3 linked regions of the Kluyveromyces lactis genome follow. The protein of the gene in region 1 interacts with the protein of each later gene in a pairwise test. Links are inferred from orthologs where the notes say so. Each region holds a gene or a part of one and is shown on either strand. Other genes may lie near its edges.

Region 1 (12,019 bases):
AGTGACTCGACAAGTAATAACAGAACCAGTACTGAGTAAAGGATTCCCAAGGCTTGTAAACTTCCAAATGAAATCCTTCTAAAGTGAATTCTATCATCATAAGCAACTTTGTAGTGTAAATCCATGTTGAAACTGGCATCAATGGGATATTCCCCATGTTTGTAATGCTATCTACAATTCCCATTGATTGCCATTGGGTTTCATATTGCTCAAATTGCGCTTGAACGGAGTCCCAGTCGAGTAATAGTCTATTAAATCCTTGCCGATGCCTACATGAATTTTGTGGCATATTTTGATACCAACGAAGGAGGCAATATGAGAGTTCATTCAAGGCTTCTATCATATTATCGCGATCTGTTGTTTGCTCGCGGCTGGATATTACATCGTACAATGCTGTTCCTGCTAATGAGAACTCGTAAAGGTGCATATCCTTGAACGTGTTAAACCGAAACTTGTCTAAGATGGTGTCTTCTCTAATTAAATATGATTGCAGTAACGCACGAGCCATGACTGTCCTTTGTCTAATTCGGTTGAAAAACCAAACATATTGTCTGATTTCGAACGCTGTATTGCAATCTTTTACCGATAATGCCGCTATGATATCTCTCATGAATTCAGTATAAGAGACATATTCGTCTCCCTTAGGTTCAAAGAGATCCTTTGGTGGGAAGTTATTATCACGCCTCTTTTGAATGCCCTTGGAAAAACAACCAGGAGGGTATGAATGCTGCTTAGTAGTATAATCGTCTTGTACCAATGAAGAAATAATATCTAGTGATTTTTGCAAAGGTAGTAAGTCTGAAGAAACCGAAGACTGACATGAGGGATAATGATAATTGGGTAAGTGCAACAAATGTTTGACTAAATCAACAAGTTTTTGTAGATGCGTAGATTCTGAGTATGACTGAACTAACAGTTGCAACGAAGAGTTCAATAAATCTATTACTTCTTTTGTGTCCACGCCAGAGAGCATATCCAAACTCATAACGTTACAGTTCAAGTCTTCCTCCTCGTAAACACCACCATCTTTCAAAACTTTGGAAGTGAACTTTATGAATGAACAAACACCTATCACAAAGCTGCACAAGACTTGATCATACAAGGGGTCGCGCGTGCGTAATCCTTGGAACGATTGTAACGATGAAACCGGGTTCGAAGTGTATAATTCCATAAGAAATTCGACGTATCGACAACTTAGCACCGTAGTGGGTAGAGTTTGGTAATCATGAAGCCAATTCATCAAAGAGCGACATAATCGATCACAAACCGCAGTGACATAATCAAGCCTTTCTCCATTATTTGAGTCCCCGTATGGTACATTGCAGTCGAATTCCAACTCTTCAGGGCATAACTCAATAAGGCTTGTATCTAATTTCACGTTGCATACTTCCAATGCATAAGTCCCTTCGAACAGATTGAACGTAGCTTCTTTGACCACTGTCTCTGGTGCCAACTTCGCTGCTAGGGCCTTTAAATGATCTGTGATGTCTATAAACTGGGCTTCGTTTTTAGGATCCATTCGATGATCTAGCGTTAAATTCGCCAACTCTGCAATGTTATTCTCAACCACCATCAATAATCAGGAATGCTGGGAAACAAATTTAGTTGCCCCAAGATATCAAACCCTAAAATCTTGCAATGTCTAGTGCTACCGCAACTGTATATTCTGTTCTAATCTCTCTAATTCATGATATCGTGTGGAAGCCTTAAGCTATCTCACAAGTTAAATTAGGATTTAAACATTTAGTAGAAAAGAGGTAATAAACTCTACACAACATAAAACAAAAGTATCGGACCTAAGAAAAGTCAAGGTACTGTGAGAGCCATGCATTGTACAAACTATTCCCAGTTGCTAGAGGCACTTGCAAGTCTGGTACCCCACACTGTTTCTTAAAAACGTATGTTCGTTACGTTATTATGTACGCAAGAGCGGAGTATCTATTGGTAAATATCGACATGCATGCTAACAGTCATTCTCGAACAATTGATGATCTCTAGTTTTCACCAACCAAAGCAAACAAAGCTGTCAGTCATAGCTTTACAAGTCGAATTCAGGGTATTCAGATAGCGACAGGGAGGGGTGGGGAGGAAGACCTTTAATAGATAGAGATCAGCAGCATGTTTCTACTGTAGAATAAGAACCCGAAATCGGAGAAAAAAAATTAAAGCGGCCTCAGAGTGGGGGACATTGAGAAACTATCACTTCAAACCGATGCCCCACTAACAAGTATTTAAGTAAAGGCCATGGTGAATGTTAGATATTCACTTCTTAGCAATTGGAAACGTTTTGTATTAGAGCTGCACTTCCGAATTACTATTTGTCCATAAATAATACACTAGTTACTCTATCGTTAATTAAGGTAGATACAATCTATTGCAATTGGGAAAAGGTCATGTACAAGGACAAGCGATGCTGATATTTTCACAGGGTTGTAAGAAGGTTCTTGTCAGTAGAGTTGGCAGCGGTCTTGTTGAAAGACCAGGGTATACCTTTGGACTTTTCCAACAAGTATTGGCACAGCGGTGGGTTTCTCAATCTGCGGATGTTACGGAAACACCGTTGTCGAAATATGACGAGTTGGTAAAGCTCGGAAAATTAAGAGATGATCCGTATCAGCGGAGTATCATCAAATCCTTAGGTCATTTGCACGACTCTTTGGTTTCGTACAATCCGGAACCAGTACAACCACCAAGCGTGCTAGATCAAGTCGGCTGGAAAACAGGGTTTCTTGGGAAATTATTTGCAAGGAAAGAGAAGTATTCGACGGAGGGTGTTCCTAAGGGTATATATTTATACGGTGATGTAGGATGTGGAAAGACGATGTTGATGGAGTTGTTCTATTTGACAGTTCCTCCAGCTTTGTCAAAGAAACGTATACATTTCCATCAGTTCATGCAGTATGTGCATAAAAGATCTCATGACATTATATCCGAACAAAATTTCGATGCTTTGGGTGAAGCTAAGGGAAGAGATATCGACCCAATCCCATTTCTAGCGGCAGAGATTGCAAACACTTCTAGAGTGCTTTGTTTCGACGAGTTTCAAGTGACGGACGTGGCAGATGCCATGATTTTACGGAGGTTAATTACTACATTGCTTTCCAAAGAGTACGGTGTTGTACTCTTTGCAACGAGTAACAGAAAGCCAGATGATCTTTACATCAATGGTGTTCAAAGAGAATCGTTTGTTCCATGTATTGAACTGATAAAGGAAAGAACCGAAGTGGTATTGTTGGATTCTCCTACCGATTATCGTAAGATTCCAAGACCAATTTCATCTGTTTATTACTATCCAAGTCATAATTTATCCTATTTTTCAAAAGAGTGTGAATTGGCGAGGAAATTACACGTACAGCAATGGTATAGTTATTTTGCCCAACTGCATCGTCCCAGTAAGTCAGAAAATGGCCATGACATTGTATATAACTATCCATTGACTATCTGGGGTAGACAATTACTCGTTCCTAAATGTACACCTGGGAGAGTAGCACAATTCACCTTTAAACAATTATGTGGAGAACCTTTGGCTGCTGGTGACTATTTAACTTTGGCTAACTCATTCAAGTCCTTTGTTGTCACAGATTTGCCATACTTAACCATATACGTACGTGACGAAGTTAGACGGTTCATTACATTCTTGGATGCAGTTTACGATAACGGTGGTAAATTAGCTACCACTGGTGCAGATGACTTCACCTCACTATTCGTGGAACCAGAAGATATTGTCAACGACTATGAGCTTAAACCAGCAGATCAAATGAAACATGAAGATGAACCTGAAGTAGAGGATGAATTGGTCAGTAAACACGGATTTTCTAAGGATATTGCCAAAAAAGCACAGATTTTCGCATTAGATGAAGAACGGTTTGCATTTGCAAGAGCCCTAAGTAGATTATCCCACATGAGTTCAACTGATTGGGTCGAAAAACAGTAAGATACTAGTGTTTTTGTATGTTACACGTCATCAAAGAAAGACAATACGACATCTTCCAAAACAAAACATAAGAGATTGATCGATATGCCATTATCAACTTTAATCAATATATATCCATTTTATAGACCTAAATCAATTTCAGCCGTATTTGAGTATCCTTTATCTTCTGCGCTTGGTGGTCCGCTTCCACTAATTTTCGCAGTTGACGCCCTAAATTCGATGCTATCTGCATGTCTGGATACTTCCTCTGTATTTACTTTCATTGTGTCCTCTAGGAACCTACGTGCTTTTAGCATGTTCTTGAACGAGTCTTTTGTACCGTGCATAGTTTCGAAATTCCTCCAGAAATCCCAAAGTTCTTCATTCTGTGCGGGCTTCAGTAATTTGCTCCCGTAGTCTAACAATGCTCTACAACGAGCAACCTCATTACGCGATTCTTCTAAGATAGCAAATGGAAGTAGAAACTTGATTGCTTTAGAATTGGGCAATGTTTCTATACATTCTTCATATAGTTTTCTGGTGTGATTGACGTCCAATTGTTTTTCACTTCTATTGATGCATTCTTCCCATAAAGTACATTTACTTTCAAGATCCGAAATATTCTTGGCTCCTTTGTGCAAAATCTCGACACTTCTCTCGTGGAAACCAAGGTTTAACTCAAAGTCGCTGTACTTTTCAAAGAACGAAACACATGCCACTCCTGAAGCTGCAAGCTTAATAGCAGATTCAAAAATATCTCTTTTTTGCTCTTTAGTGATATCAGCTTTGAGTGCCACATCCAGATATATATCCCAAATAGACTTCGATACGCTTGGAGGAAAAATCTCAACACTCCTTTCGAAAACAGCCAAAGCTTCTGCTTGATGGCCAGAAGATTCATTTAATAACGCATAATTAATAAACATGGCTGGTGTTGCTGCCTTGATGAGTATTGCTGTTTCATACGCATTTACAGCTGTACCATAGTTTCCTTTGACCTCCAATAAGTCAAGGTACATTGCCCATAAGCGTTTAGATGAGAAAATTGCTGCTTGTGCTGGCGATTCTCCTTTCTCAAATTTTTGTAGGAGTAATTCATGATTATCTGGTATTTCTAATACAACGGACAAAACTTTTATGGCATCGTCAATGCTTCTTTTTAGTCTGTATTCACACCAATATAACCAAACATTTTCAAGATCTACTAAAAATTTGAAAGGGACGTTAGTGGCTTTGTCCAGCAAGACCTCGGATTTTTCAATATCCTCTTCAAAAAGTCTGCAATATTGACACCATAATTCTCCTAATAGCCCTGGAGTAGTCTGAAGTCTATAGTCCACGGTAAGAACAGCATCTGCATAAACTTTAGCTTTATCAGAGATGGTATCAAAAAGCTTCACTCGTTCTAGCCACAATTTGATGTTGTTGGGTTCTCGCCTCAATTCTAAGTCGTTTAATCTAATAGTGTGGTTTTTTATTAATGAGGTTAGAGTGTCGGCATGTAGTCTTATATTTGCGAACAGCCGTTGCTTTTCTGAATTATCGTCTTTCATCTTTTGAATTAATTCTTGGGTCAATAGCTCCTCCATACGAATCCAAAAATCATATAATACAGAAAATTCGATAATGTCTTTAGTTTCGCTTATAACTTTCTCTAAGTACAGCTCAGCTTCCGTTATTTTTCCTTGACGTATCAGGTTAAATATCAAATATGTCTTAAGTTCACCCTTCTTGAAAGGGAATAATTCGATACATTGGTCCACTACCGCAGCAACCCCTGCTGAATTATCCACAAGAATCATTGAAGTGATGTAACTAACGTAAAGTTCAAATAAACTTGTCTGAGATGGCTTTAAATTAGGTGATAGATGTTTTTCAAATACTCGAACGATCGTGCTCCAATCATGAGTCTTAAAAATGTAGATCAATAAAGGCTCTATGTCGTCACAAATAAGTGAATATCTCTGTAGGATTGAGGAAGACCAGAGGTCTGTATCAAAATTCGTCGAATGCTCTCCGTGAACAAAATAGTAGATGGAATCCTCTAAAGAAAGTTCATACCTCTTGTTGTCTATTAACAATTCATTGATAATGAAATCGATGACAACACGCCATATTGCTTCATGGTACTCCCACGACATTGATCGTAGCGCTTTTCCAAGCAGTTCTCTAATCCTCTTCAAATCCTTAAACTGTATTACCCATTCCATATACATAATCCATGCATCCCCAACTTTGCCACATGATGTTAAGCACTGTTCGAATAGTAACGATATCTTATTGTATTCATCTTTGTGCCTGAAAATATCACAATCGTTCAATAATTCTATCCTCCATTTCAAGAACTCTTTCCATAGATGCCAGTCGTCCTTGATCTCCTTCAAACAACGTTCGTATAGCCAATCTAAATTCAACTCATCGCCTGCTGATCTTTTAGTTGCCAAATATCTCGACCATGATACAGCATTGTCTCTTTCTCTAACAACACCATACTCAAACGGAATATCTTCCTCCTTGACAAATTTATCTATTTCCATCGAAACATATGTCTCTCGCAGTACCTGGTGGAAAAACAGTGCACTAACTTTACCTTAGATGGAGCTTTAATTGTAACTCATCTCATTAAACGTTTTGACATATCACCGTAAATGAAATAATATCTAAATTTCGAAATTAACCAATTTTCAAAATATCTGAAATATAAGACATTCAATCATTTGACGAAAGAAAGGTAGAAAAGGGGGGCATATATCAGCTGGGGCAGAACGTTGCAATTAGGCTGGCACTGACAAGTATCCAACCTGGAACACATTTACTTGTAATCGTTTGCTTTTTCTTTGAAAAGAACTGTTTTTCTACTGTACCAATCAGGTGAGTTTGGTACTAAGCGTACTGATAACATATTACAGCAAGGAAGGAACGACTTCACTCCTAGCATCTTGAATTTTATCGAAAAATGTCTAGTAATAGGGAACAGGTTTTCCCCACTCGTATGACCTTGGGTCTTATGAAGACTAAGTTAAAGGGTGCTAATCAGGGTTATTCTTTGTTGAAGAGAAAGTCTGAAGCATTAACGAAGAGATTCCGTGATATCACTAAAAGAATAGATGATTCAAAGCAGAAGATGGGCAGAGTGATGCAAACAGCTGCGTTCTCTTTGGCGGAGGTCACATATGCTACAGGTGAAAATATAGGGTACCAAGTTCAAGAGAATGTTGCCAATGCAAGATTCAAAGTTAGGGCCACGCAAGAAAACGTGAGTGGTGTGTACTTGCCTCAATTTGAATCATTCATCGACTCCAACATCAACGACTTCAAAATGACAGGTCTAGGTCGTGGTGGTCAACAAGTTCAGCGTGCTAAGGAAATTTACTCAAGGGCTGTTGAAACACTAGTTGAATTGGCTTCGTTACAAACGGCTTTCATTATCTTGGACGAAGTTATCAAAGTTACCAACCGTAGAGTGAATGCCATTGAACATGTGATCATTCCAAGAACGGAAAACACCATTGCTTATATCAACTCCGAGCTAGACGAATTGGATAGAGAAGAGTTTTATAGATTGAAGAAAGTGCAAGAAAAGAAACAGATTCAAACTGCTCAGTTGGATGCTGAAATGAAGCAGAAGAAATTAGATGAAGCAAATGCTGAGTCTGAAGGTAAACCAGATTCTCAAGAAGCGACCAAAACTGGCGTAGAAGCTGCCGACACACAAGAACAAGAAGAACAATCTGGCCCACAAGTAGAAGCTCTGATTACCGAACAAGAGGAAGATGTCATCTTTTGATCTTTGGTTTCTCCCTTTCTCCATTATTGTATATCAATGAATATCATTTTCCATAATATGTACACTAAACTTCTAAACAACGTTAGTTCTACTTAGATGTCAAAAAAACCCTTTTTCCCTTCAGAAACAAGTGGATAAATACTGTATTAAAAGGGACAGTACAAGCATCTACCGGTGTATACTTTGCTTCAACTCCGTAGCAAATATCAGATTGGCTAGTTATGAAGTTTGGGTGGTTCTTGTTGGCAGCTTCTGTGGCAGCTTTGCCATTTGATAGTTTACATGTTCTTGAGATCGAGGAAGGTAAGACTATTATGGTACGAGAGACCGAGAAATGGTCTCTCAAGAGGAAAGGAGTGCAATTCATGGATATTACCAATTTTCCCAAATTACTTAAGTCCAAAGATGAAAAGGCTGTTGTGCCAGTGTACCGTTATCCGAAGGAAACTCAATGCGACGAAATTGTAAATTCGTTGTCCAAGGGAGTTGATAAGGTTTCAATGCATGATAATTTGGCAAAATTCACAAGTTTCTACACTCGCTATTACAAATCTGACACGGGGTACGAATCTGCTGTTTGGCTCTCCGAGAAATTATCTAACATCACTAGTCCATTGAACAATGACGTTGTCATTGAACATGTTCAGCATAAAGGTTGGAAGCAATTCTCCATCATCGTATCGATTAAAGGAGCACAAACTCCCGAGAACATTGTCGTAATGGGATCGCATCAGGACTCTATGAACCTTTTATTGCCATCGATACTTGCTGCGCCAGGAGCTGATGACGATGGATCTGGTACCGTAACCAATCTAGAGGCATTGAGATTATACGTTGAACATCTCTCTACAACAGGTTACAGACCCAATAACACCATTGAGTTCCATTTCTATAGTGCAGAAGAAGGTGGTTTACTAGGTTCTTTGGATGTCTTCACCAGGTATGCAGAGGAGAACAAAAAAGTCGTCGCAATGTTGCAACAAGATATGACCGGATATGTTGAAGATCCAGAAAATGAGCATGTTGGTGTCATTACTGATTATACCACGCCAGGTCTAACTGAATTTATTAAGTTGATTATAAGAAGATTCTTGGATATTCCTTACGTGGAAACGGAATGTGGATATGCATGTAGTGATCACGGAAGTGCAACGAAGAATGGATTCCCCGCTTCCTTTGTCATTGAAAGTGAGTTCAACAAATCTAACAAATACATTCACAGTACGATGGACACTTTAGACAGACTTTCATTTGATCACATGGCCCAGCATGTAAGGTTAGTCGTTGGTTCCTTATTCGAACTTGGGAACTGGGAATTTAAGCTGGAAGAAGAGACCAAATGATGCTCTGGATGTAGTAATCTAAACTTTGTTTAAAATAGAGTTGGTAACTGAACAGATGTTATGTTATTTCTTTAAATTAACTAGTTCTACGATATTTACAGGATGGAAGTCATTGAAATAAGTTTACAAAAACTGATGATATTTAAGATAGGATCAGTTGTGGGGAAGCTTATCATTGTCTAGCCTTTCTACCAGCCTTACCTCTTGGTCTATCTTTAACCTTCATTTTGTTTTGATGCTTACCCCTTCTTGTCTTGTAACCCTTGGCCAATTGACCCCATGGAGACATGGACAACTTTTTGGACTTAGATTTACCTCTACCACCACCGTGAGGATGGTCACATTTGTTCATTGCCACACCTCTGACAGTTGGTCTTATACCCAACCATCTAGATCTACCAGCTTTACCTAGAGAACGGTTTTGATGGTCAATATTTGAGACAACACCCATGGTAGCTGCAGCTTCCAATGATACGTAACGGTGCTCACCACTTTGTAGACGGACAACAGCTTTATTCTTTTCTGGGATCTTGGATAAGATACGTGCGTAAGAACCAGCAGCACGACAGAACTTACCTGGACCTGTAGGAGTGATACCAATATTATGAACGATGGATCCGATTGGGATCATAGAGATTGGTAGACAGTTACCTCTTTGAGCTGTTCTAACAGATAAGATGGCAGGATCGATCTTCCCACCCATTTCTTTCAAAAATGATGGTGGAATACCTTTTCTGTATGATTCGATGGTATCCCCAGCTCTTAGCCCATCACATGCTAAAATGTAGCTTAGGGCACCAGTATCGTTATGTTTTATCAATGCAATATGTGCACTTCTACCAGGATCGTATTCGATTCTTTCCACAGTTTGCATACCAGATTCGAAACGACTGAAATCGACTGTTCTCAATCTTCTTTTATGACCACCACCACGATGTCTCACCGTGATCTTACCACTATGGTTTCTACCACCATTTCCTCTCTTGGCAAGAGTCAAAGATTTAACAGGTCTTCCCTTATGCAAATATGGATAAATTGGCGCACGGTACCATCTCAAACCTGGAGAAACCGGTTTCAATTTCTTCATTTGTGTAACTTCCTTAGCCAACTTTCTTCTTCTTCTTAACAATTCGTCTTGCTTCTCTAGTGCTACCACATCTGTGTTATTAGGAACGATTTTCAACATATGGACATTGACATCGTCAACTGAAGATTGTTCTTCATTCCCGGTTGGAGTGATGCTGGCCATAGATCTGATTCCACCAAGTGAAGTATTGTTCAAAGACATTATCATCGAAACATTCCACGGAACTTGAACTCTTGAGGAGACGCCGCTGGCAAGCGGCGTCAGGCATCTCAAGTTGAATTGCTTGAACATGATATTATATCCAGAGCACCTAACGAGATTCTTAGGGTAAACCGTCTAATACCAATATCTCCGCTTTGCTACTGCCCTTCACAGAAATAATAAAATAACTCTGATCTTAATAAGATTTGTTATAGATATATCCACCCTTATATATATCAATATCCATAGTTTAAAATGTTTAAGTCATTGCAATTACATTGTTCATTTTTGTTAATATCAAAATCTTTCAAGCGATCTCTAATTTCAAACAGCTTCAATACCATCAGAGGAATATCGTCAAATGGAATTTTTTGCAAGAAGTATCACTATGAACGTATTCTGAATTTACCCGGATTATATAATATTTGGTCACGTGATTCAGGAAATCTTTGTGTACTTATTTTGTGCCCTAATGGCAGACCAGTCTCTCATGGTTAGATTGACTATTCTTTCTGTTTTATGGTTTTTAGTTTAAATAACTGGAAAAGTGAAAAATTTTGAGGTAAGTTTCTATCTCATCACGAATACTTTATTATCCGTTACAAAGCTTTTAATTAGAGTTAGAGACATAACCAACAAGGATTCGATTTGTAGTGTATCAGGAACAGGAGTTCCTGTTCGCAACGTATTCTGTCTTTTTTACTGAACTCAAACGGAAATCAAATTCCTCTTCATGTCGGGAAATGAACAAGTAAAAGGAACGACGAAGATAATGACTGTCTGTATGGAAATACCATCATTTGGATTGTTTTTTTTTTGAGTATATCGATTATGATGACCGCTGTCGCCCCAAACGGATTTCGAAAATATGAACGATTCGACTAGCATTAGCCAAACACTGAAAATTCTGATCAATCGATTACTTTATTAAAATAAACTGTCCAGGCAATACAGTACAAGTTATATCTTCTTGTTTGTTTGACTTTCTTCATTTCCGGATATATTCGGGTAGTCGAAGTGTACGTTAGATGTGTCAGTGGATTACTCGGCATTCTCTATCTTAAATATATAGACCTATTAATGATGAACTAAAAGTTTCCATGCTAATCATGAATAAAATTCAAAATTTTAAAGGATTAGAAACACGCTTTTTGTTATCTCTAACAGTCCTGAATACGTTTATATATAGCATTAGCTGTTCCATTCTTGTACTTGTAACTTGTGCTTTTCGGTAGTGTGTGTTTTTTTATTTTTGGTGCCGGTATCTGAATTGTAAACACGTCTTGAAAAGATGTCAATAGAAATAAAAGTGTTATCTTAGGACTAAAAACGTAGGATCCTAGATTATACAGAGCTCTGAGACAGTGAACCACAAATCTAAACCGTTAGCGATACACACAGGGCCTTTCTGAAAGGGATTTCTTCTGCTTCTATTCCTCCTTTTTTTGTTACATTTTTTTGATTCCTTATTTATACGTGCATTCATGGACGCCGAATCTGTTGAACCCTTTCTGGTTTACCTACCGATCCCACAGAGAGTTGTTGTCCTTGTGTTATTAGGGTTATGGCTATGGACATGGTTCCTGAAGGTATCAGTATCCTACTACGACGTGTCCAAAGTAATTGTATCCAATGAGTCCACGGGACTACCTTACTTTAACACATCCACGAAAATACACCAATCAAGC
Region 2 (11,125 bases), on another chromosome or scaffold:
GTATGCTTCTCGAAGTTTACCATTAATATCCATTCACTAATAAAATCAAACGATACAACCAGAAAAAAGGCTATTGTGAAGCGCAAATTGTATAGGTAAATTTGTGGCAAAGGCGATATCTTCTTTGTATACCCTACCAACAGTTCGTTTCCAGCTACGTAACTAAATTTCTAAACCTTATTTTATACCGCTGAGTCGAATAACTTAGCATATACATTTTATTCATGTTGGTTATTTTTCACCGTTCGTTTTATTTTTTTCGGGAATTAATCACTGGTGTTAATGCATAGTATACTCATATAAATAGTGAATGGATAGTAAATGAATGATGATACGTTTTTAGTGACTAAACTACTCAATCAAGTCCTGGCTTTGATATCTTAATTATGATGAATTGGTATCTATGGTAACTTATTTCATAAATCTACACAGAGAATGTTATCAATTATGAAATAATTCGAATAATATAAACCTGTCAAGAGAGTTTGCATTGTACGAAATGGAGTTGAACTTGGAGGTCATAATTCGTCTTGTTCAAATAGCTCATCAGTATGTTCTTCCAAAGGTGCAATTGGCACCTTGAGCTGGATACTATTCACAAGGTCTGCTCTGAAGTTGTTTAATGAAATGAAACTTTTAGAAAGGAGATGATAATGTAATCTTAAACTCGTTCCAGCATCTATCTCTCTCCATTTTTTCATGTTAATAATGTATGATGACGATAGATCGTAGAATGGTAGGTCATATTTCTGTAAATACTTTTTCCAGTATCCGAAGTTCCAGTACGAACCTTCTTTTGTTTTTGCCGGTTTCAAGTAGAACACAGCATCAGAGAATGAAGCAATATCGTTCCATGGAATAGTGTCACTTGAATCATCAGTTAAAGAAAGTACCACTAAGTAGTCAACGTTTTTTGGAACCATTGTGTCTAACAGCAAAATAGATTTCGCCTCAAGCTCTTTTGCTGAGAACCGCTGTGGTCTCAACCATAATGGCCAAGTATACGTTAACAAATGATAGTCAACTGAAGCTGGCATTTCTCGGACAATTAACTTAGGTCTCTGAGCTAAAATATAAAATTTTGCTTTGTCGCCAATTTCTTTCTTGACTCTTTCAATTCTTTTAACGGCCACACTTTCTTGTCCATCATGCACGACAACCATTACATTCACTCTGTCGTCTTTTTCGTTCATAATTTCCGCAGTAGTCTTTCTCACTTTGACATGAATTTGGGTAGGCAATGAGTTATCAACATCAAAGGATTCTACTTCAATATAATTTGCTTCTGCCATTGTCGACAATGCTGTAATCTCGTAACTTGAATCACAGTTTTCCAACTTCAATCCCTTTTGCAAGCTAGGTAATGATAATTGGACATATCCAAATGATTTCATCGAAAGACCTTTATCGATAACATTTCCTGCGTTGTCCATTAGCTGCAAGCATACACCGGCCAGACCATCAATAATGTCAATTGACACATCGTCACCTTCATCGAATACATGGGCTTCAATAATTATTGATTTGTCATCTGGGTTGATGTTATGAGGATAATCAAATTCTGATAAGAATCCATTATCTGATATCCCGGTTGAAGCATTGTAGAATCTATGCACTGGGTTCAATGTTAGATTGGCTGTCGGTACCAATGCAACCTCTGTTTTTACAAATGGCAAGTCTTTCAATAAACTTGACAAATATAACAACCGCTGTGTCCTTTCTTCAACAGGATCTAGCAATAGAGTGACGTTGATTACAGATTGATCAGAGCGGCTAGTGATAGTGTATTCTTCTAACTCAGAAAGACTCACTCGAGGCATTGAGGATTCTGTAGTGTAAGGTATTCCGTTATTCAATACAAGGTAACCATGATGTACATATTTGATAACAGCAGCAGTAAGTTCCTCGATAGCAGATGGGTTCATTATGTTTTCGTCCAACGCCCCGATGTGATGTAGTGTCTTCAATACATCAAGGGTGCGCGAAGAATGATGAACCAAAATGTTGTGCCATAATTCAACAGAATACAAATCGTCATCCGTATTGAAAAATTTACCATTGATTACTGCAAATGGTTTACGAAGAGCTTTAATAGAAATATCCGGCAACCAAGAGCTTAAAACATTCAAAAAGGGATCAACAATGAAATTAACAGTCGTCTTAGAGGCTATTTTACCTGACAACTTCCCTGTGCTGAATTCCATTTTAAAATTATCCCAACTCTTTGACAAATCACCAACGTGAACTAGTCTGAAACTAACACTTTTGTGATTGTTCCTTAGTAGGGCTCGTATCTTCTGAACAGCGCTATAAGAGTTGAAATCATCGACTAAAGTGATAGTATGAATGGGTGAAGTCTTTTGATTCGGATCAGAAAAGATTATCGTGCGACTACCGAGTACATGTAGAGCGCGGTTGTTAACTCTGGTGAAGGTTTCATCCAGCATACGGTTAGGTATGTATACCGGATTTTTCAATGTCAAGGACCTATGGTGAAGAAGTTGCCTTACTGATAGGTTAGATGAATCACCCAAGGCCTGCAATTCTGACTTCAAATACTCGATATCGGCGGATAATATCCTTGAAGTATGAATCTTCCATGCTTTAGCTTGGAATGGTAAAAGTACACCATTCATTGCTATGCAAGTATCTGCTATTTTGAATCTCTCAAGGTATTCATCATACGCACTGCCTTTGTGTTTTGTCTGAGGTTGAATTTTTTCAGAGTGTCCAATAAGAGTTCTTAAGTAATCTATTATCGACTGCAGAGGCTTGTCAGATTCCGACTTCAATTTATAAATCATATCGACAACAGAGTTCGATCCAGAGGAAGAAAATGGAATTAAGCCCAACCTGATAGGATATCCAGTTTCCATCTGATCGATTGCTTGTAACAATGATCCTACAGCACCGTCATCTTTGAATTGTGTCATATCGTCAAAGTTAATAAAAAAGATGAGCTCATTCCAATTCTGCTTGATGCTAGGAATTGGTTCGAAATCAGATGGTTCCAAAAACGCCATATTGTCTTCAGGCAGGTCCTTATATAGCTCATCCTTCTCGAAATTATTGAAGAAAACTACAGCTTCAGAGAAACCTGGAGTACGATAGAAATCGTAACGATTTTTGTCAAAGTAAGCCGTATATGAGTAGCCAACCGTGAAATATTTCAAAAAGTTCTCTAACTCAGCACCGGGGAACTTACTTAGTTTTTCTTTTAAATCATTAACCCTAGACCATTCCTTAGCGAGGATAGCAGGTAAAGTAGTTTCATCTAATTCTGACAATCTCCACTGTTGGCCGTTGATGTACAAGCCAAGTAATTCATGAGAGATTTTTCTCTTATTGAAGTCTTTAACAATATTCTTTGCTGGTGTTGTATCAATGTTGTCTTTAGAAGCAATGACTGGTGCCACTGCAGGAAAATTGTAGGACAACGACTTGAAATATTCAAAGAAAGAATCGAAATCATGATCTTCATTGAATTTCTCCAACAATAACGCGGTGAATTTCATATCCAAATCTTCTAGTTCCTTTTGATCCAAGTATTTCAATTTGACTGGATCCTTAATTTTTAGATCAGAATCATCGATTACAAGGTGAACATTTGCCTTTTGGTCCCAGTTTTTGTCCGATAATGTGGCACTCAATGCATATTCTGGTGTATCACCTATGATACAGGTCGGTCTCCAAGTCATTCTAATCTTACCAAACTTAGCCTCATTATAAAGATTTCTGTTGAAATCAGCAAACTCTAAATCTGTTTCACAACCGTAAAGTACCACAATTGGAGCAGAAGCATTAGTTCCGATTGCAATCTCTCTATCTTTTAACACATCGAAATCTGGAACAAGAGCTTGAGCATCCAATTCAGAGGTCTTGAAATAAAATGAGTCATCGCTCTTAGAGTATATTTTGCCATTCAAAACAAAGCAAGTTTCTTTGAATTCATCATCAATTGGTGCAATCTGTACATATTTTGAAATGGCACCGGACAAGCCTTCGACTTGTTGTACTTTCTCAGCCGAAGCTGAACTTATAGATTCCTCAATTCCTTCATCGTCATCTTCATCTTCTTCATCCTCTTCTTCATCACTTAACGTTATTTTTCTATACAACTGCATCCATTGGTCGGTAGACAATGCATCGTAATCAACAAGGGACGCTGAAAGCCATCTCTTACCAATTCCTTCATTAAATGCTTGCGTTATGTGCAGGACAGTTAACAGCAAAAACACAATTCGTAACCTAAACAAGACCATCGTGGTTTTGCACCGTTTTAGATCAGGAAACTCGTTCACTCAATCTTGTTGGAACACAAACTGTCAAATTGTGCTGATCTAAATACTCTCTTTCATCTCGAATTCTGATCTTAATAGAAGGCAAATATAAACCTTAAAAATCTTGCGGGATCTTCTGCCAATAAAAAACTTTTAAGCTGGAAATATGAAGCATGTTAAAGTCCTACACATGTTATAGAATTTGTAAACCTCACCATTACTATAATGCTACTCCCTAAGCTAGTACTATGGGATTTTACGCATGTCTATCAGATCCACTGGCAAGGTAGCTTCAGCCACTTTCGAATGAAGAGTCACGTGAGTGTATTTCTCACGTGACTCCTAGTTTCTTTCTTCATTGGCTCTATCTATCTGTGAAACGGAAAGCGTTGAGAAAAATATCAAAAAGTGATTTGAAGATATTCTGGAATTTTTGAACAATTAACTTATACATAAAAACGGATGAGTAGAAGGCTTGGACTCAGGTTCAGAGGCTACTACTGCTCTTTCGTTTGTTGTATTCGAAAGTTATTGAAAACCTTAGGCGGCATATTCAGAGAACTAGGGGGATTTCTGAACTTTTTTCCCGTTGTTTCAAGTCGTTAATTTAATCATTACTCATCGTTTTTAGCGGTTTGATTAAATCTTCCCGTTCTTGATTAGAATTTGCTTTCGAAGACGTCCTTAGGAAAGGTGTTTCGCGTTAATTGCAGGTTATTTTCCAGTTTTACAGCTAGGATGACGATTGGTGATAAGTCTAAGTGGACGGCTGCCAACGTTCGTTCCACATTTTTGGACTATTTCAAGTCTAAGGGCCATACTTTTGTTCCATCTTCACCCGTGATTCCATTCGATGATCCAACTTTATTGTTTGCCAATGCTGGTATGAATCAGTATAAGCCAATCTTTTTGGGAACAGTTGACCCATCCAGTGATTTTTACAAGTTGAAGAGAGCTACGAACTCTCAAAAGTGTATCAGAGCCGGTGGTAAGCATAATGATTTGGAAGATGTTGGTAGAGACTCCTACCACCACACTTTCTTTGAAATGTTGGGTAACTGGTCGTTCGGTGACTATTTCAAGAAGGAAGCTATTGAATACTCTTGGGAATTGTTGACCAAAGTCTACGGTATTCCAGGTGATAGATTGTACGTCACTTATTTCGAAGGTGACGAAAAATTGGGTTTGGAACCAGACTTCGAAGCTCGTGATTTGTGGAAATCCGTTGGCGTCAAGGATGATCATATCTTGCCAGGTAATGCCAAGGATAACTTTTGGGAAATGGGTGAACAAGGTCCATGTGGTCCTTGTTCTGAAGTTCATTATGACAGAATTGGTGGTAGAAACGCTGCTCATCTTGTTAATCAAGACGATCCAGATGTGTTGGAAATTTGGAATAACGTTTTTATTCAATTCAACAGAGAACAAGATCGTTCTCTAAGAGCTCTACCGGCTAAACATGTCGATACTGGTATGGGTTTCGAAAGATTGGTGTCCGTTTTGCACGATGTTAGATCTAATTACGACACCGACGTTTTCGAACCTTTGTTCAACCGTATCCAAGAAATCACTGGGGTCAGATCATACACTGGTAAATTTGGTGCTGAGGATACGGATGGTATTGACACCGCTTACAGAGTCTTGGCTGATCATGTTCGTACGTTAACTTTCGCCTTGGCTGATGGTGGTGTTCCTAACAACGAAGGTAGAGGTTACGTTTTGAGAAGAATTTTGAGACGTGGTGCACGTTACGCTAGAAAGTACATGAACTACCCTATAGGAAACTTTTTTTCACAATTGTCTGTCACTTTAATCGAACAAGTTAAGGATATGTTCCCAGAAGTCGCTAGAGACCCATCTTATTTGTTCGAAATTTTGGACGAAGAAGAAGCTTCTTTCGCAAAAACTTTAGACCGTGGTGAAAAATTGTTTGAAAAGTATGCTGAAGATGCTTTGAAGAAAGCAGACAAGACTTTGGATGGTAAACAAGTCTGGAGACTATACGATACTTATGGTTTCCCTGTCGATTTGACTGAATTGATGGCTGAAGAACAGGGCTTAAAGATCGATACAATCGGTTTTGAGAAAGCTAAACAGGAATCATACGAGGCTTCTAAGAAAGGTGGTAAGAAGGGTGCATCTGATTTGATCAGATTAAACGTTCATGAATTGTCTCAACTTAACGGTGATAATGTCGCTAAGACTGATGATTCATCTAAGTATGGGACCGAAAACGTTGAAGCCACTATTTTGAGAATATATGATGGTGAGAAATTCGTTGACTCTATGACCGAAATTGGTAAGCAATATGGTGTTATTCTAGACAAAACTTGTTTTTATGCCGAACAAGGTGGTCAAGAGTTCGATACAGGTAAGTTGGTTATCGATGGTGAAGCAGAATTCAACGTCGACAATGTTCAAGCCTACAACGGTTATGTTTTCCATACCGGTTCTCTTGGTGACGGTAAACTATCTATTGGTGACAGTATAATTGCTTCTTACGAAGAGCTACGTCGTCATCCCCTAAGAAATAATCACACTGGTACACATATCTTGAACTTTGCTCTGAAAGAAGTGTTGGGTAATGATGTCGATCAAAAGGGTTCCTTAGTTGCACCGGAAAAGTTGAGATTCGATTTCTCGCACAAGAGAGCCTTATCTTATGAGGAATTAGTGGAGGTTGAAAAACTCTCCAATGAAAAGATCAGGGACAACTTAACTGTGTATTACAAGGAAGTTGCCTTAGATTTGGCTAAGACTATCTCTTCTGTCCGTGCTGTCTTCGGTGAAACTTACCCGGATCCAGTTCGTGTTGTTTCTATTGGTAAGGCCGTTGAAGAAGTCCTAGAGAACCCAACTAGTGAAGAATGGCAAAAGTACTCCATTGAATTCTGTGGTGGTACCCATGTTGCTAAGACTAGTGACATCAAAGAATTCGTCATTGTTGAAGAAAGTGGTATTGCCAAAGGTATCAGAAGAATTGTTGCGGTTTCTGGACCTGAAGCCTATGAAGTACAAAGAATTGCTACTGAATTTGATGGCGAATTAACTGCAGTTGAAAAACTGCCTTTCTCCCCTTTAAAGGCCCAAAAGCTAAAGGAGCTAGGTGTCAGACTAGGCCAACTAACTATTTCCGTTATCACCAAAACTGACTTGAAGGATAAATTCAACAAAATTGAAAAGGAAGTTAAAGATGAACTGAAATCTAGAGCTAAGAAGGAAATTAAACAAACTCTGGACGACGTCAAACATCACTTTGATGCTAACAAAGAGTCTTCTTTCTACGTCAAGCATATTGACATTCCAACTAATGCTAAGGCCATCACTGAAGCTATCAATCACATTAAAACAAACTCGAAGGACAAGTCTATCTACTTATTCACTTGTAATGAACCAGACGGAAAGGTTGCTCACGGATGCTACATATCTGACGCAGCAATTGCTCAAGGTGTTGATGGTTCTAGTTTAGCCAAAACAGTATCCTCTAGCATCGGTGGTAAAGCTGGTGGTAAGGGAAATGTCTTCCAAGGTATGGGTGACAAACCAAACGGTATTGACTCCGCTGTTGCGGAAGTTGAAGCCTTGCTAAAAGAGAGACTGACTATCTAATTTCACCCGCTTTAATATAAACTCTTTGGCTACGATTGGCTTGAAGTTAATCTCAAGTCTCAAAGTTTTGTAAATATATGCATGAGAACTCTGATTTTCAACTCAACTATATATGATATTACTTGAAAGATATGCTACGCCTTTTGTTATATAGAGAATGAATTATCTGATATTTACACAATCTGTTAGTTAAGGTTGGTGATGCGGCAATAATGCATAAAATATTGGACATGCTTGGCGTATTCTCGTTCTTCTTCTGTGACTTGAATGCGACAAACCAAAAAAAAAAAAAAAAAAAAAAAAAAGAGAGATGCTTCACATTACAAGATTTAGAGTTATGATGGAGATCAACTGTGAAGGAATCAAGATTTTGATAAAGGACGGTTGTGCAACAACGTTTATTCGGGGGTTTCATCCTACTATTAATAAAACTTGCTGTCATAATAGGCAAAATAGAAGAAATCCAATGGTTCGTTTAAAGAGCAGATACATTCTTTTCGAAGTACTATATCCAGATGTAGATGATGAGTACGAAACAGTGCCAGATATAACCAAGAAGGACATTTTAACCACGCATCACAAAGTATCACCAAATACTATCAGTCCGAGAAATATTTTGCAGGAACTACGAAAACAATTACAGGTGAATTTCGGGGACTATGGCTTGGGAAAGGCTACGGCTTTGTTACAGATCAAATACTTTTCGAATAGAACATCAACCGGTATAATACGATGTGGCCATGATGACCATCAGTACGTAATAATGGCACTTGCTTTGATGAACCAGATTGAATCTGTTGGGCCCATCATAATGAATCCAATAAAAGTTAGCGGAACTATTAAAAAAGTTGAGTTATTTGCTATCAGAAGAAGTCACCGTTTGAACCGAATACTTCTGACAGATGATAGGAATGATGAGTTTTCTTCAATCACTGACGATGAAAATAATGACTGATTCGCTGATTTCATTCAATTAGTAGTGCTTGAATATTATTACATACAATTATATCAGTATATCGGTATCGCACAATTAAGAAGTATGAGGCTTCTTACGCACTTGAAGACCGTATTCTCTGGCATGCTCGTTATCTTCCTCATTCTGTTCCGCATTTTTGCCATCATCAGCAGCGGAGAACTCTACCGGTCCAGTTCTTCCTTTCTTATTTGAGAGTCGATCAACAATATCTTCGTTTTCTAAGTTAGAACCAGTAGTTGGCCTGTAAATGTTGTCAATCTGGCTATTATTGAACAATGGATGGTCGAAAATTTGATTTGAAGATGATGCCACAGATGATGCCGCTTTCTTGAACAAGCGGGAATCGTACTGAAGATCTGGGGTCTCGGTGGCTTTTGCAGCATTTAAAACAACTTTATCAGAAACATCTCTTCCTTGTTGGTACGCCAATCGTCTTAACTTTTCTGCTGTGCTCATTTTATTCGACCGTTCCAATTCGCGTTCTGCTCTCCTACGTTGATTACGCTCCATTTCCCTAACATAATGATCTTCATTTTCGTACTGTCGCCTATTTTCCCTATCCTGTCTAGCACGTTCAGCTAAGTGACGTAACCTTTGTTCTTTTTTTAAAGTTTCTTCCTTCTCTAACTCCTTGTACGCCTCTTGCTTAATGTTGATTCTCTGTCTTGCTTCTCTTTCTGCTTCGTCTAGTGCCTCAGATAGCAGAAGGAAATTGTCCTTCTTATCATTATCTGGGCAGTCCGTCTTTATTGATTCAATAGCAACTCTATTATCCAAAGAAATAGCAAATCCGTTAGGATTCTTCCAGTTCGAAATGGCGGATGGAATTCTCCATTTATCAAGCTCTTCCTTTGTAGGTTTAATACTAGGGTCATCCGACTTATGAAGTATAGGCGCCTGAATTTCTTCCGATGGTACAACGACCTTCCTTTTCCTGTGTGTTACCGGTTGTAAAGGATCCTTCTTATGTTCTATTACTTTAACTGAACGTTGAGTACCAGATTTTACAGAGCTTATTGCTTCTCTTTTTACGATGTCCTTGTTCGCAATAGACGATAATTGTAGAGAGCTCTTTTTCGTTAGCAGCGAGTCTAGAAACGCCTTAGTCTTTACATATGTTTGATTAATCTGTGATGTCGATGGGAACGGTGCCTCTAGTGATATATCACGTTGTCTAAGAGGTACAAAGTCAGATATTGAGGCCACTGGTAGATTCTCCGGTCGTAGCTTGTCTAATATTATTGTATCCTTTATGTTTTCCTTAGATTGTCTAGAAAATGCTGAAGACTCGGAGACTTCTGAGTTTTGCGGACTCGGTAGCAATGAGCTGAGTGTCCTGAATGACATGTCAGACCGTTCTAGTGGTGTTATAACAGGTTTGTTCCTATGTTTCAAGCCTTACCTACTTTACTTTATAAATTATGGGAATGTTCAATAGTTAAATATTTTCTCTAAATTTCAAATACATTGTTAAAAGTTGATATTATAATGGAAATAAGTTCACTGCAAATAGAAATTAAAAGATTCTTTCTATTTAAACAGTTTATCCTTGATTTTACCCACTATTTTAGTATCCGCCCCTTGACCTGATGAGTACATGCTGTCAAAACCGAACTTTTTATCAGAACCTTGGTCTCTGGAGATCAAACTTGTGCGAAATGCAAGACCCTCTTGAGTTGTTCTGAATTTTTGAAGTGAGTGCTGTGCAGGTGGAGGTGGATAATGCAACACGGCAGGCTTCTTGTACCATCCGCGTCTTTTAGGCTCAGGGTTTTCATCTTGTGACATAGGCGGAACCCCTATAAATCTCACCTTTTTCACAATACCTTCAACTTCGCTGTCGTTGTTTGAAGACGACTGATTGTCATCGGCAACAGAAACTATGATCTTAGGAGTTTCACTACCTTCTGGAGATAACACTTCCTGAGAGACGATTAGAGTATCATCGTCCAGCTTCAGATCGTGGAATTTCTCATTGATGTCATCTTCGTCTACTTCATTTAGCTTCAATATGTTCACTTTGTTCCTCTGTTTTACGGAATTCTGCCGTGACACAGTTGGAGAAGGTGATTTTGATCTTATAGAATTATTCAGCTTTGTTGGTGTTAGTCTTGGGCCTCTTTTCTCATTTAACGAGAGTAATGCTTTTGAATATGCATTCTGTACAATTCTTTGTGTATTCAGAGAACCTGATTGAAGAGAATTGGATCTCATACCATTCCGAGCAGTGGAAGTATCTTCAAGACTTGATACTGATTGC
Region 3 (10,452 bases), on another chromosome or scaffold:
ATGGCCAGTTTTTTTTTCCCAGTCTCTAATTCAACTTTTCTCCCTCAATGGGGAACAATTGAAGAGTGAAGAGCATTCGGGTAACTATAATAAATTATGTGCTTCTTGCAAAGACCGTTAAACCGAAGTTACATTTGGGGTACCAATTCATCACATTCCATTCTCTGGCTTACTGGGCTAGCGGTGGAGGACTGAACATTAGACGGTAAATTTAGTCACGTGATTTCTTTTGTCTTCTCCAAAAATATTTGGCAGAAACTCGTCAGAACAGAATTAAGGAAGCTTCCATTACCGAAAGATTATAGAATAAATTAAGAGTCATCGCTGCAACAAAGAACAAAATACGAACCAAAGAAAAGTTGTCAAGTACAAAATCAAAAGGTCAAGATACAACCAGTGTGACAGAACTCTGTGTTTAGGTCTTCTTTTTCACAATTGAAAATAAAACAGAGGACGAAATCGATACTTTACCTGATATTTGTAGCGAACTATGACGGTTTGCGGCATTCTAAGGAAGCAGGCAAGTATAACGGCTAGGAACAGATGCCGGTTCTTTTCAGTACATCGGTCCCCATTATTCAATACACATATTAAAAATGATGAAAAGACTGTATCTTCCCATAACCGCCTTCATCGTAGGAATAATCATCGAAAACGGAGCAAAGAAATGACCGAGTTGAATTTCCAAGAACTCTATCATATTCGATCAAATATCCAGCATTTGATCCAAGATTATTCTTCGTATGAGATTCCAAAGATCGATTGGGCATTTCTTCTGCAATATCGTGGCCCGCTTCAGGATAATGAGAAGTATTTCCTCACGATTAAGACGTTGAACCTGTTATTGACGTTGACATGCCATAGATTGGCATCTCTACAAGAATTACCTTATATCGCTTTAGTGAACCCAAATATTGAACAATCTAATCGGCTTTATTTAAAAACTTTAGAATCACTTCTAAGCATTGAGTATCCATACGATCTGTATGACACAGATAAAATTCAAAATCTTACAGAGGAATTCTTGAATGATCACCAGGATACGTTACTTACGTTATCAAATGGGTTGCAGGAAGTGAGCCGTTTTTATGATCCAGAAAACATATTCAAGTTTTTGAATAAGCATTTACATGACAGAATATTGATGAAGTTGTTGACTACCAACTATTTGAAGCTCTTGGAACAGACTTCTTCCGATGAGGTCATTGGCGTCATCCATAAAGATTTGCATATATCTGACTTAGTTACAAGAACGAACGAATTTGTTAACGATTTGACATTTATCAAATACGATAAGACCGTTCCAGTGAAAATTATGGAAGGGTCTGATGTGAAATTTTCATATATACCTACGGATCTAGAATACGTCCTTCAAGAATTGCTTAAGAACAGCTCGAGAGCACATATTGAAAACAACGTTGACAAAGATGTGGAAGTAACAATAGTGAAAAACGACGATCAACTTGAGATCAGAATCAGAGACTTCGGAGGCGGTATAGATCCACAGGTAGAAGACCGAGTCTTTGATTATTCTTTTTCCACAACGGTGAAGGAAGAGAAGGACAGCGGTATGAGCGATTATGTTTTACCTGGTCAAGAAGTCCAAAACGTTGCAGGTATGGGATTCGGACTTCCAATGTGCAAAGCGTACCTAGAGTTGTTCAATGGTACACTTGACATTCAGTCATTGTGGGGATGGGGTACTGATGTTTATATACGATTGCACGGTCCATCGGATAGACTATTCGACAAATGAGAACACTGTACTATCATTCAGTCCCGGAGCTTTCCATTGCAACGTGTTTATACTGTTAGCGCTATTTACAGATATAATCCTATTTATTGAGAAACATATATTCATATATACAAGAAGTTATCACATGTCATGATTAGCTTCTGTTTGCAGTTCTTTGAGGAAGCACCGATATGTCTTTGTGAACCTTAGACATCAAACCTATTGCTTGGCATCTCTTAATAGCCTTTGTTAGACGACGCTGGTTCTTAGCCGATAAACCAGTTACATCTCTGTGTAATATTTTACCCGTTGATGTCACAAATCTTGACAAGAACTCTGGGTTGGTGTATAAATCAAGTGGATTGATCTTCAATTTGTTGAATGGGTCAAACGATCCAGGACGTACCCCAAACTTCTTATCTAAATGTATTCTTTCTAAGGAGAAATCAAATGGATTGTAAACGGAGCCCGGCTGAAAGTTTTTGATTAACTTGGATTCTAGCTTCTTGATTGTGGGCTTGCTATTAGCTTCCGACATACCTTCTTTCAGAAGTTTTTGGTCAAGACTGTTGCAGACATATCTTGTGGTAGAAAAGAATCTTGCGCAGCTGCGGGAAAACATTTCTTCTGATGTGTTTTAATTTATTCAATCTCTCGTTAACAGGCGTAGAAAGGCCCGAGCGACTTGGTTGTTTTCCTTCTCTTGCTTGCTTAATATTCATGTTATTGAATAAAATTTTCCATGTTGAAAAGATCTCTAAATTTCAAAAAAAAAGAGATTGAAATAAAGGATACTTAAGTCATTGCCAGGCATTCAACCTTTTTCCTGTTGTCAACCCAGTTTACGCAGATCAACCTTGGAGGTGTAGCGCGATTGATCGGAAAGCTCTTGCAGGAAGTCGGGCATCCCTGTGGATCAAACCCGGCGCGCTCCAGCACCTACAGGCCGATGCAATCGGCCTCCTATTCTTTGACCTGGCCAAAACTGATGATCCGTTTGCTGGGTACCGGCGACGGTACCGCTGAGCGCTGCTATGCCGGCAGTCAGGTTGGTTATAGCCAGCAAAATGGAGCCGAGTGCCTACCCAGGTCAGCGGTGCGTTGCGCTTGGTCACGTGTGAGATTTCGTGTGCCAGCATCGAGGCTAGCTGGCTTTCATTGTCGGTAACCTGCAGCAGTAATGGATCTTTGATCAGCGGCGCGCTGGCGCGCTGCTGCCGCACGTAGAAATCGCCCATAGCCAGCCGTGGGCCACAATCAAACGTTTACCCCAGCTTTTCGGCAGGGTCTTGATTCTTGGCTGGATCTGATGGGAATAATGAATCAGTAAATAACTGCGATTCTGAACTAATTCGAGGATTTTATCAATATTGGTGTGATTTCCAATGTAACATCAATTCATCTATTATCAGTCAGTGTTCTATCCGCTCTGGTGGTTATTCAGGTTAAGTAGGTTAACATATAAACGTAACAACAAATTAAAAAGCTGGAAAATATTACTACTTTTCCAGCTTTCAATCCATTAATCGTTAAATACAAAACTTTCTTCAGCTAGATTGTGGTCTTTTCTATAACTCTCGTCCAATATTAAATAATCATCTGGTTGTTTAGAGCTTACTCCTTTCAACCAAAACTGTTCACCGTAAGCTATCAGCATTGCCCAATGATACTCAAGTTCATGGCTACGAAGACATACTGCCAGATAACTATCAATGGGCTTACATACTAATGAAGACGATAAAACCATTAATTCAGCCTCATCTTCTTTTTTATTTGCATACTTAACGATAATTGCTTTAAGCATTTCTACCCAAGTATGGAAATTAAAAACAACTGTTTCTTCAGGATCATCTTCGTCTTTAAAAACAACTCCATCAACAATTTTATCCTTATTAATCATTATCGACAACCTCTAACTTTAAATCTATCAAACAGCGCAGCTGCTTTCTTTCTACAAATAGCAAGTTGTGTCTCTTTAGATCTAGGAATGGCGAGGGGGGGTTAATAATTCTATTAATTGTATCAATTCTAATAATGATTATATTTATAGTTATTTATACTCATATTATACTTCCGCGTCTCATTAATGTAATATTAATGAGGCGCGATTTGATTTTGATGAAATTAATTAAAAAAATAGAGAACTAAAATCAAGGCACAGACAAAGATAAGTACACGCAGAACCGCATCTATCTGGTGGACGTGAGCCAGGCAAATAATAAACTTATCGAGGTTTAAAGGAAGATTGGTATTGCCTATAATCTTAATAAAAAAAGAAGTTACAATTCAGAATCAAAATTTAATACAGTTTGTTAATATTCAGAAGTGCCTTAATTAAGTTAACGAATTATGTTTAGTAAACTATCATTGAATAACATAACTGATTCAATCAGTAATGCCGCACAGCGTACTCAGGAACAATTTTCCTCTGCCATTGAAAAGATCCACTTGGATGATCCTGAAACACGTTTGTCCATTTTGAAGCGTAGACACCAACTACAAGAAACTTTGGGAACAGTGCATGATATCAGTCAACTACCAATTCAGTATAAGTTTTTGGAACAAAAAAGTGATGCCTTAGAAAAGATTTGTAAGAGATTGTTATTGGTAACCAAAACTTTTGAAGTAGAAGGATATGATTACCCACCCAATTTAACAGAGTCATTTAACGATTGGTGGAGTGGGAATAAGGATTCCATTTTCTCTTTCAGTAAGAAAAAGGCGGAAGTTTCCCCTGAAGTGAAGGAAACTGCAGAGAATGGGTTATTGCCAAGATCATTTGCCCAGGCCTTGTCAAAAGCTGCTACTGATTCTGCTCTGATTCTGAAACAATTGAAGGCAGAAGAAACAAGAACAAACCAAGAAGAGTCTCAAGAAGGTGCTGATCAAAAACCAGCTGAGGAAACTAAGGCAGAACCAGAACTAGAAGCAGAAGCAGATGAAGATGAAGACGAAGATGAAGACGTAGATAATTTGATCAAAGCATTCGAATCATGGACCAAATGTCAACTATCAATTGATCAAAGCAAGGCTGAAATGGATAGTTTGATGGTTAAAGAGTTCAACGCCAAACTATCTAAACTTATTGAAACTGATTTCAAGAAAGGTCACGAATTGCGCGCTAAGGTTCAAGATGCAAGATTGAACTTTGATACTTTACGTCATGAAATTAAATTGAAGCTGCAGGAAAAAGAGGTTGTAGCATCCTCTGAGGAAGCTGAAAAAAAGGTCGCAACTGAAACCCCTGAAACCCCCGAAAAGAAAACCAATGAGGAACCAGTTGATATGGCAAAGACAGAAGAAGATCCTGATTCTAAGCTTTTCGAACGATTAGAAGATCAGTTCGTGTCTGCAACCTCAGAAACTGTGGAATTCTTGGGAGAACTTACAGATAGTTCTGAGATCATTTCTTTGGTTAAGTTGTTCCATAATTTCCAATTGATCCATTACAAGCAATGTGTCAAGAGCTTAGAAGAAGATCTAGAAGTCCTTAACTCACTAGATTCTGAAGACAAATGAAGAAATCCACCTCTATATATCGTTAAAATAAAATAATTATTCATAATCAATCGTAAATATCTCATATGTAAATGCCCAATATACCTATTTTCCCATGCCTATTTGAACTCGCTATTCAATTTTGCATTAAACCGTTTATTCTTGTCATTAATAAATCCATCATCCAAATTGATCTTATTTTGTTTATCTAGTTTTTGTTTCCGTACCATATACCTTTTCTTTGATCGTTCGTTCAAATCATTCACCATTTTTTCTACTAGTTCAGGATTATCTTCTACTTGAACCTTCCCATCCTCAGTTATTCCACCTTTCAACGGATGTGATATATCCTTCGGAAGCGCATCTACTTCCTTCTTGTAGCTGTTCTTTGCTATAGTTTGGAAGTCCCCCATCACGCTTTTATTATGTCTTGAATTCTGTGTCTTAGCTTCCCATTTTTCATATTCGCGTATTGAGTAGTTTGCCAATTTTATCGGATCTTCTGGTTCGCTTTTGTTACTTCTAGCTTTATCTTCGCCATCGTCAGCCATACTGTATACTCTTCTTTCAGAGTTTTTCTTCTCTTCAGCTATTATGGCCTTCTTATTCCTTATACTTACTTCCACTTTTTGTTTCCGCAAACTCTTCAACTTTTTTTCAATTTCCATTAGATCATTCATCTTCGAATATTTATTATCAGCCTGTGTCCAGTTTACAATGTGATTTGTGGCATTCAAATAAGGGCTACACTTTCTGTCACCTGGAAGATATCTGAGTATATTCATCGCATCTCATCTTGTTTCTGTTTGCATTTCGACACTATATATTACCCGGACTGACTCCCAAAAGTAAAGTTTGAAAAATTTGAAGTACTCAGAAGAAGAGATGAGATGCGATGAGATGCGATGAGCTGTAAGTGCAAAGATACACTCAACCGCTGCTCTTGAAAGGACGAGGTGAAGTATCAAATATCCTGTGTTCAATACAGTTTGCTTTGATATTATTTATCGAAAGATATTGAGAAAATGGCATCCATCTCACAGCCTTTTAGGCTCTCTGCTCTACCTAAGATTCCATCATTGAATAATTATGCGAATCAAACAGACTACTTACAAGTTGTTGATAATCTTTCACCATCAGCCAATAAAGTGAATATTGGTATATCAGGTTCCAGTATATCACAATACTTGATTAATCCAACCCCGAAGCTGGTTTTTAACTTGCCAATCCCCTCTACGAACATTGTTACTGCATGTGACGTGGTAGAAGATGCAGCCAATACAGAAGTCTGGTGTTACGGATTGGAAGCTAGAAAGGTATCACATTTACACTTGGCTACTAAGCCGATGATTCAAGATGCCGTGTCATCTTCAAATGCTGAAATCACATCTCAGTTCAAATATAAACTAAAATCTGAAGTCGTTAGCATTAAGATCTATTCTAAAGCAGAGAAAGTTCTCGTTATCTTAAGGAATGGACTGATTCAAACATTTGATTATGAATTGAAACTTTCAAATACTATTGATATATCTTATGATGATATCAGATTTGTTCAATTCTTCCAAGATGGGCAGGGAAACGATTTCTTTTTCGTGTTATGCCAACTAAGTGATGAGAAAATCTGTTACAAACTTTTCCAAGTTAGGAGTGAGTCCGTCTCATGTATTGAACTAAATTCTATCATACTAGAAAATTACACTTTAGAGAATGCAAAGTTGTGTTTTGAGTTCGGGAAATTATATGTTTTAAAGAACTCAAATGAATTATCAATCTATCAGTTACCACATTTGCAACTACAAACTAGCATTCAGCTACCTTTCATTTCCAAGGATGCAGTTGTATCCATCAAACCAGTTTCTTCAAACCGTGTATTGTTGACTGCTGATAATACCATATATCTTGTGGATTTGTTATACAATGCTATACTATTCCAAAAGGATTTACAGAACATCAAAGCTATTCAACTACTCTCTACTGCAGTTGTTCAAGAAAACTCTGAAGACAATAGAAAAACTATAGCATTAGATGTTACAACTAAAAACGGTGCTAACCCTACGAGTTACTTGGATGTTATTAACATTGATGTTGGTACCGGTACCTTAAAAGATGCGATGGGTAAAGGGTTCATGGTTAAACAAAAGCAGAAACTACAGAAACTCTTTGAAGAAAGCAATGAGGACGACGATGTGGAATTGCCATCTCCAGACTATGAACGCATTATAAAACAACTCCATATCTGTAAAAAAATAGAGAACTTTGATTCTATATTTTTTAAGATGCTTTCCTTAGACAAGGAATATTATACAGACAATGACAGATTTTTAAATGATTCTGATTTACTCACTCAAATAATCGATTGCTTGTTTCTAAATTTCAAGGATGAATATCCAAAAGCATTGACATACCTTCTAACACACCCTTTATTCCCACCGGTTCACGCTAAGGGCTTATTAACCAAGTTGAAAAATAACCCAAGACTTTTCAAACAAGCTATTGTTACTTGTCCGAATGTTCCACTTGACGATTTGTTAACCGAGCTTTTCAATATAACGAATGCAGAGCTCTGTTTTGATATTACGCTAAGAGTGCTACAAGATTACAAGAAAGAATCAATCAAAGCAGGTATAAGAAAAATTGAGAAGATGGATATCACAAACTTTTTGGATATGATTTTGAACTCGAATAAGGCAGATTCGGACTTGAAACTTAATAAGCCACAAATCTTCCAACTTATGAGTTTAATAATAGATTCCATCGGTTTGTTTGCGTTAGACGATGAATATTTAGAGAAACTTTCCTCTTTTGTCGATGCGCAGGTTTCTGTAGTGTCACAAAACATAGAACTTTTGCATTTGGCAGAGCATTACACCAAGCATTCATCGGTTGTTAACAATAAATCTAATTCATCAACAAATTCGTCTTCTACACAACCTATTTCAGCTTACACAGTGGACTATTTAGAATGCTAATAAGTGTGTAGTATAATCATAAACATTAGAACTTTTCGTAAAATGATTTCATCAGCTTTCCATATTGAACTGGAACTGAATTACCTCTTTTGGATCCATGAAAGAGTATGTTTCACAATCCTCATCACTTTCATAAATCACATGCTCCTCGTACGTAACTCTGTTATCTTTGTCGACAAGTATGACAATCTGGGATCTAGTTCCATAGTAATCGCCTATTGGCAATGAAGTTCCAATAGCGTCTGCACCTTTAGTAATTCTTAAAGGCGGTACATAAATACTGGAAGTCGTCACAGAATCCACATCTTCGCCCTCATTAAACGTATGGTTTGATAAAAGTTCAAAACATTTCTGCAATAGTTCTTCCTTGGCAATGCCCGTAGTATTTTTCGCCAACGCATCAAGTAAAACGTACCCATATTCCGTCTTATTCCATCTACTTGTGTGTTCACCTACAGCACAGTGGAAAATGTCGTTGGATATCACCATATGCTCCATCTTTTCAAACGGATTAGTGGAATGCTTTAAGTAGTCGATTACGTTATACTCGTCCGACTTCGCATCGCCATAAAACAACGTGAACGGGCCAGTTCGTCTCAAGTTCCCATGCTGACCATTGAATTTTTCCCAAGAGTCCCAATTATCAAAAGGTGCGTTATCTTCTTGTTGCAAAAACTGCAAGGGAACTATACCTCTTGATCTTGGTTCTCCATTCACCAATACAGATTCAGAATCCAGTGGTGAATCGATCTTCAAATTTAATATGACAGCTATTCTTCCGCGTCGATTAATCCCTAGCCACGTACCATAGCCTTGACCCTTCTTCTCTATAGCCATGTCATATGGAGATAATATAAAACCATCATGATTCCAGCAAGTAGCGTGTGTCTTCCGTTCAAAGAATTCATCACGATTCGATAGCAGTATGAGCTTATAATCTGGATGAGCTCTAGTCGCAAATAAAATACACATTGTGTCTCTAGTAATGATGTCCTGGTGCTACCATTCGCAGAGTTTATATTTGGGTCTTAACGCACCTCTCCCAGTGCACCCTTCGATCAACACTTATATTTCTTCAGTTCATAAGCCAAGCCGTTCATCAAATGGTTTTATTTTTAAAGGGACGGATTAGTGTATTAGTGGCATTATATAAGGTGTATACGAAAAAGAGAAAAGACATAAATGAAAGCGGAGTCCGACTGTTAGAATTATACAGGTTGCATCTTATCCGAAAAGCTTACCAATGAATTTTTTGAATCCAGATTTCTTGTGATAGCTATCGATTTCCTTTTGGTTTCGTTCGATACATTTCTGTAACTTATCGTTGTCATACCCACAGGAAGTATTTTTTTCCTTTGTACTCTTCTTGCTTGAATGCGTTGTTACTCTGGTATCCAATCTATTTAGCTGATGTAAGGTAGCAACTTTAACAAGTCCAGTTCTGGTTTCGATTTCATATTCTTCTGGGAACTCTGCACCTTCTGCAATTGGCTGATTAAACCCCGGAATGGCTTTTTTCGACAAGTCTAAATTAGTTGCTTTTAAAGAATCGATACTATCGGTCTCACCTTTTTGGACGTTATCTTTCACGTAATCTTCCACTTCCTGAGTGGTAGATATTTTAGACAGAGGAGAAGACTGCTTTTGTACAAGTGATGACATGCTGTGATGGCTATGTTTTGTCTTTGTGATAGTAGGTATGCTTCTTTCTTTTGAAATAACCATGTGCGTACATTATTTGTATGCATTAAGTCCTAGAAAGAGGTTTTTTTTTTATTTGTTAAAAGAATGCCTTAGTTCAATTTGATCTTCCAGCAGCAAATAACGCATAACGTAGGATGCAAGGTGCAGCAAGGGACGTAAATAGGTTCAGGTAAAGGTCAAAGAAAATTAGGATTAGGTGTATCTATGAATCTATAAATAAGACTGAAAGAAGGTCCTTTTTTAGGTTGCATTGTGGGGACGTGTCACATGCTGATTAAGGAATAACCAAGAAGTTCACGGAAGCGATCTCTGTGAATCGCCATTACGAGAATAAGTAACTCTGTGAACAATTCGGGGTCGGTTAATTTCAAGTCGGCAAGTGATTCAGCATCTATGTATCTAAGAACACATTCGGTGTCAGTTGTAATTGATACTGCCAGAGGATCGCTGTTCACGTTGCTTATAACGCCATATGCTGTTTTTGGCGACATTGTTTCATAGAATTCGCCTTGAATGAGATGATGAGTTAGGTTTAGAACACCGGAC

The links.
Region 2: the proteins of SYF1 (region 1) and PRP45 interact in binary tests that used the Saccharomyces cerevisiae proteins (3 or more experiments, as listed by UniProt). The link is inferred for Kluyveromyces lactis from reciprocal best matches to the Saccharomyces cerevisiae genes SYF1 and PRP45.
Region 3: the proteins of SYF1 (region 1) and SYF2 interact in binary tests that used the Saccharomyces cerevisiae proteins (3 or more experiments, as listed by UniProt). The link is inferred for Kluyveromyces lactis from reciprocal best matches to the Saccharomyces cerevisiae genes SYF1 and SYF2.

What each region holds. Positions count from the first base shown.
Region 1 is NC_006037.1:174,405-186,423, forward strand, and holds SYF1 (mRNA splicing protein SYF1), read right to left. Parts: upstream 6,451-12,019; coding exon 4,054-6,450; downstream 1-4,053. Other genes in the region: MAK10 (Mak10p), read right to left, coding at 1-1,573; AFG1 (Afg1p), read left to right, coding at 2,411-3,934; VMA8 (H(+)-transporting V1 sector ATPase subunit D), read left to right, coding at 6,870-7,700; KLLA0_A02013g (putative aminopeptidase), read left to right, coding at 7,922-9,043; RML2 (mitochondrial 54S ribosomal protein uL2m), read right to left, coding at 9,216-10,421; ERD1 (Erd1p), read left to right, coding at 11,816-12,019. UniProt on the Saccharomyces cerevisiae protein: Involved in pre-mRNA splicing and cell cycle control.
Region 2 is NC_006042.1:215,830-226,954, forward strand, and holds PRP45 (mRNA splicing protein PRP45), read right to left. Parts: upstream 10,213-11,125; coding exon 8,920-10,212; downstream 1-8,919. Other genes in the region: TEA1 (Tea1p), read right to left, coding at 1-23; KRE5 (Kre5p), read right to left, coding at 519-4,262; ALA1 (alanine--tRNA ligase), read left to right, coding at 5,019-7,889; RNA-binding protein POP5, read left to right, coding at 8,200-8,844; protein phosphatase regulator GIP4, read right to left, coding at 10,396-11,125. UniProt on the Saccharomyces cerevisiae protein: Involved in pre-mRNA splicing. Associated with the spliceosome throughout the splicing reactions, until after the second catalytic step.
Region 3 is NC_006041.1:407,925-418,376, forward strand, and holds SYF2 (Syf2p), read right to left. Parts: upstream 6,019-10,452; coding exon 5,353-6,018; downstream 1-5,352. Other genes in the region: protein kinase PKP1, read left to right, coding at 491-1,756; RSM18 (mitochondrial 37S ribosomal protein bS18m), read right to left, coding at 1,890-2,357; KLLA0_E04577g (uncharacterized protein), read right to left, coding at 2,587-2,973; KLLA0_E04599g (uncharacterized protein), read right to left, coding at 3,258-3,635; KLLA0_E04621g (uncharacterized protein), read left to right, coding at 4,085-5,254; UTP8 (Utp8p), read left to right, coding at 6,259-8,202; KLLA0_E04687g (uncharacterized protein), read right to left, coding at 8,254-9,174; KLLA0_E04709g (uncharacterized protein), read right to left, coding at 9,427-9,927; VSB1 (Vsb1p), read right to left, coding at 10,170-10,452.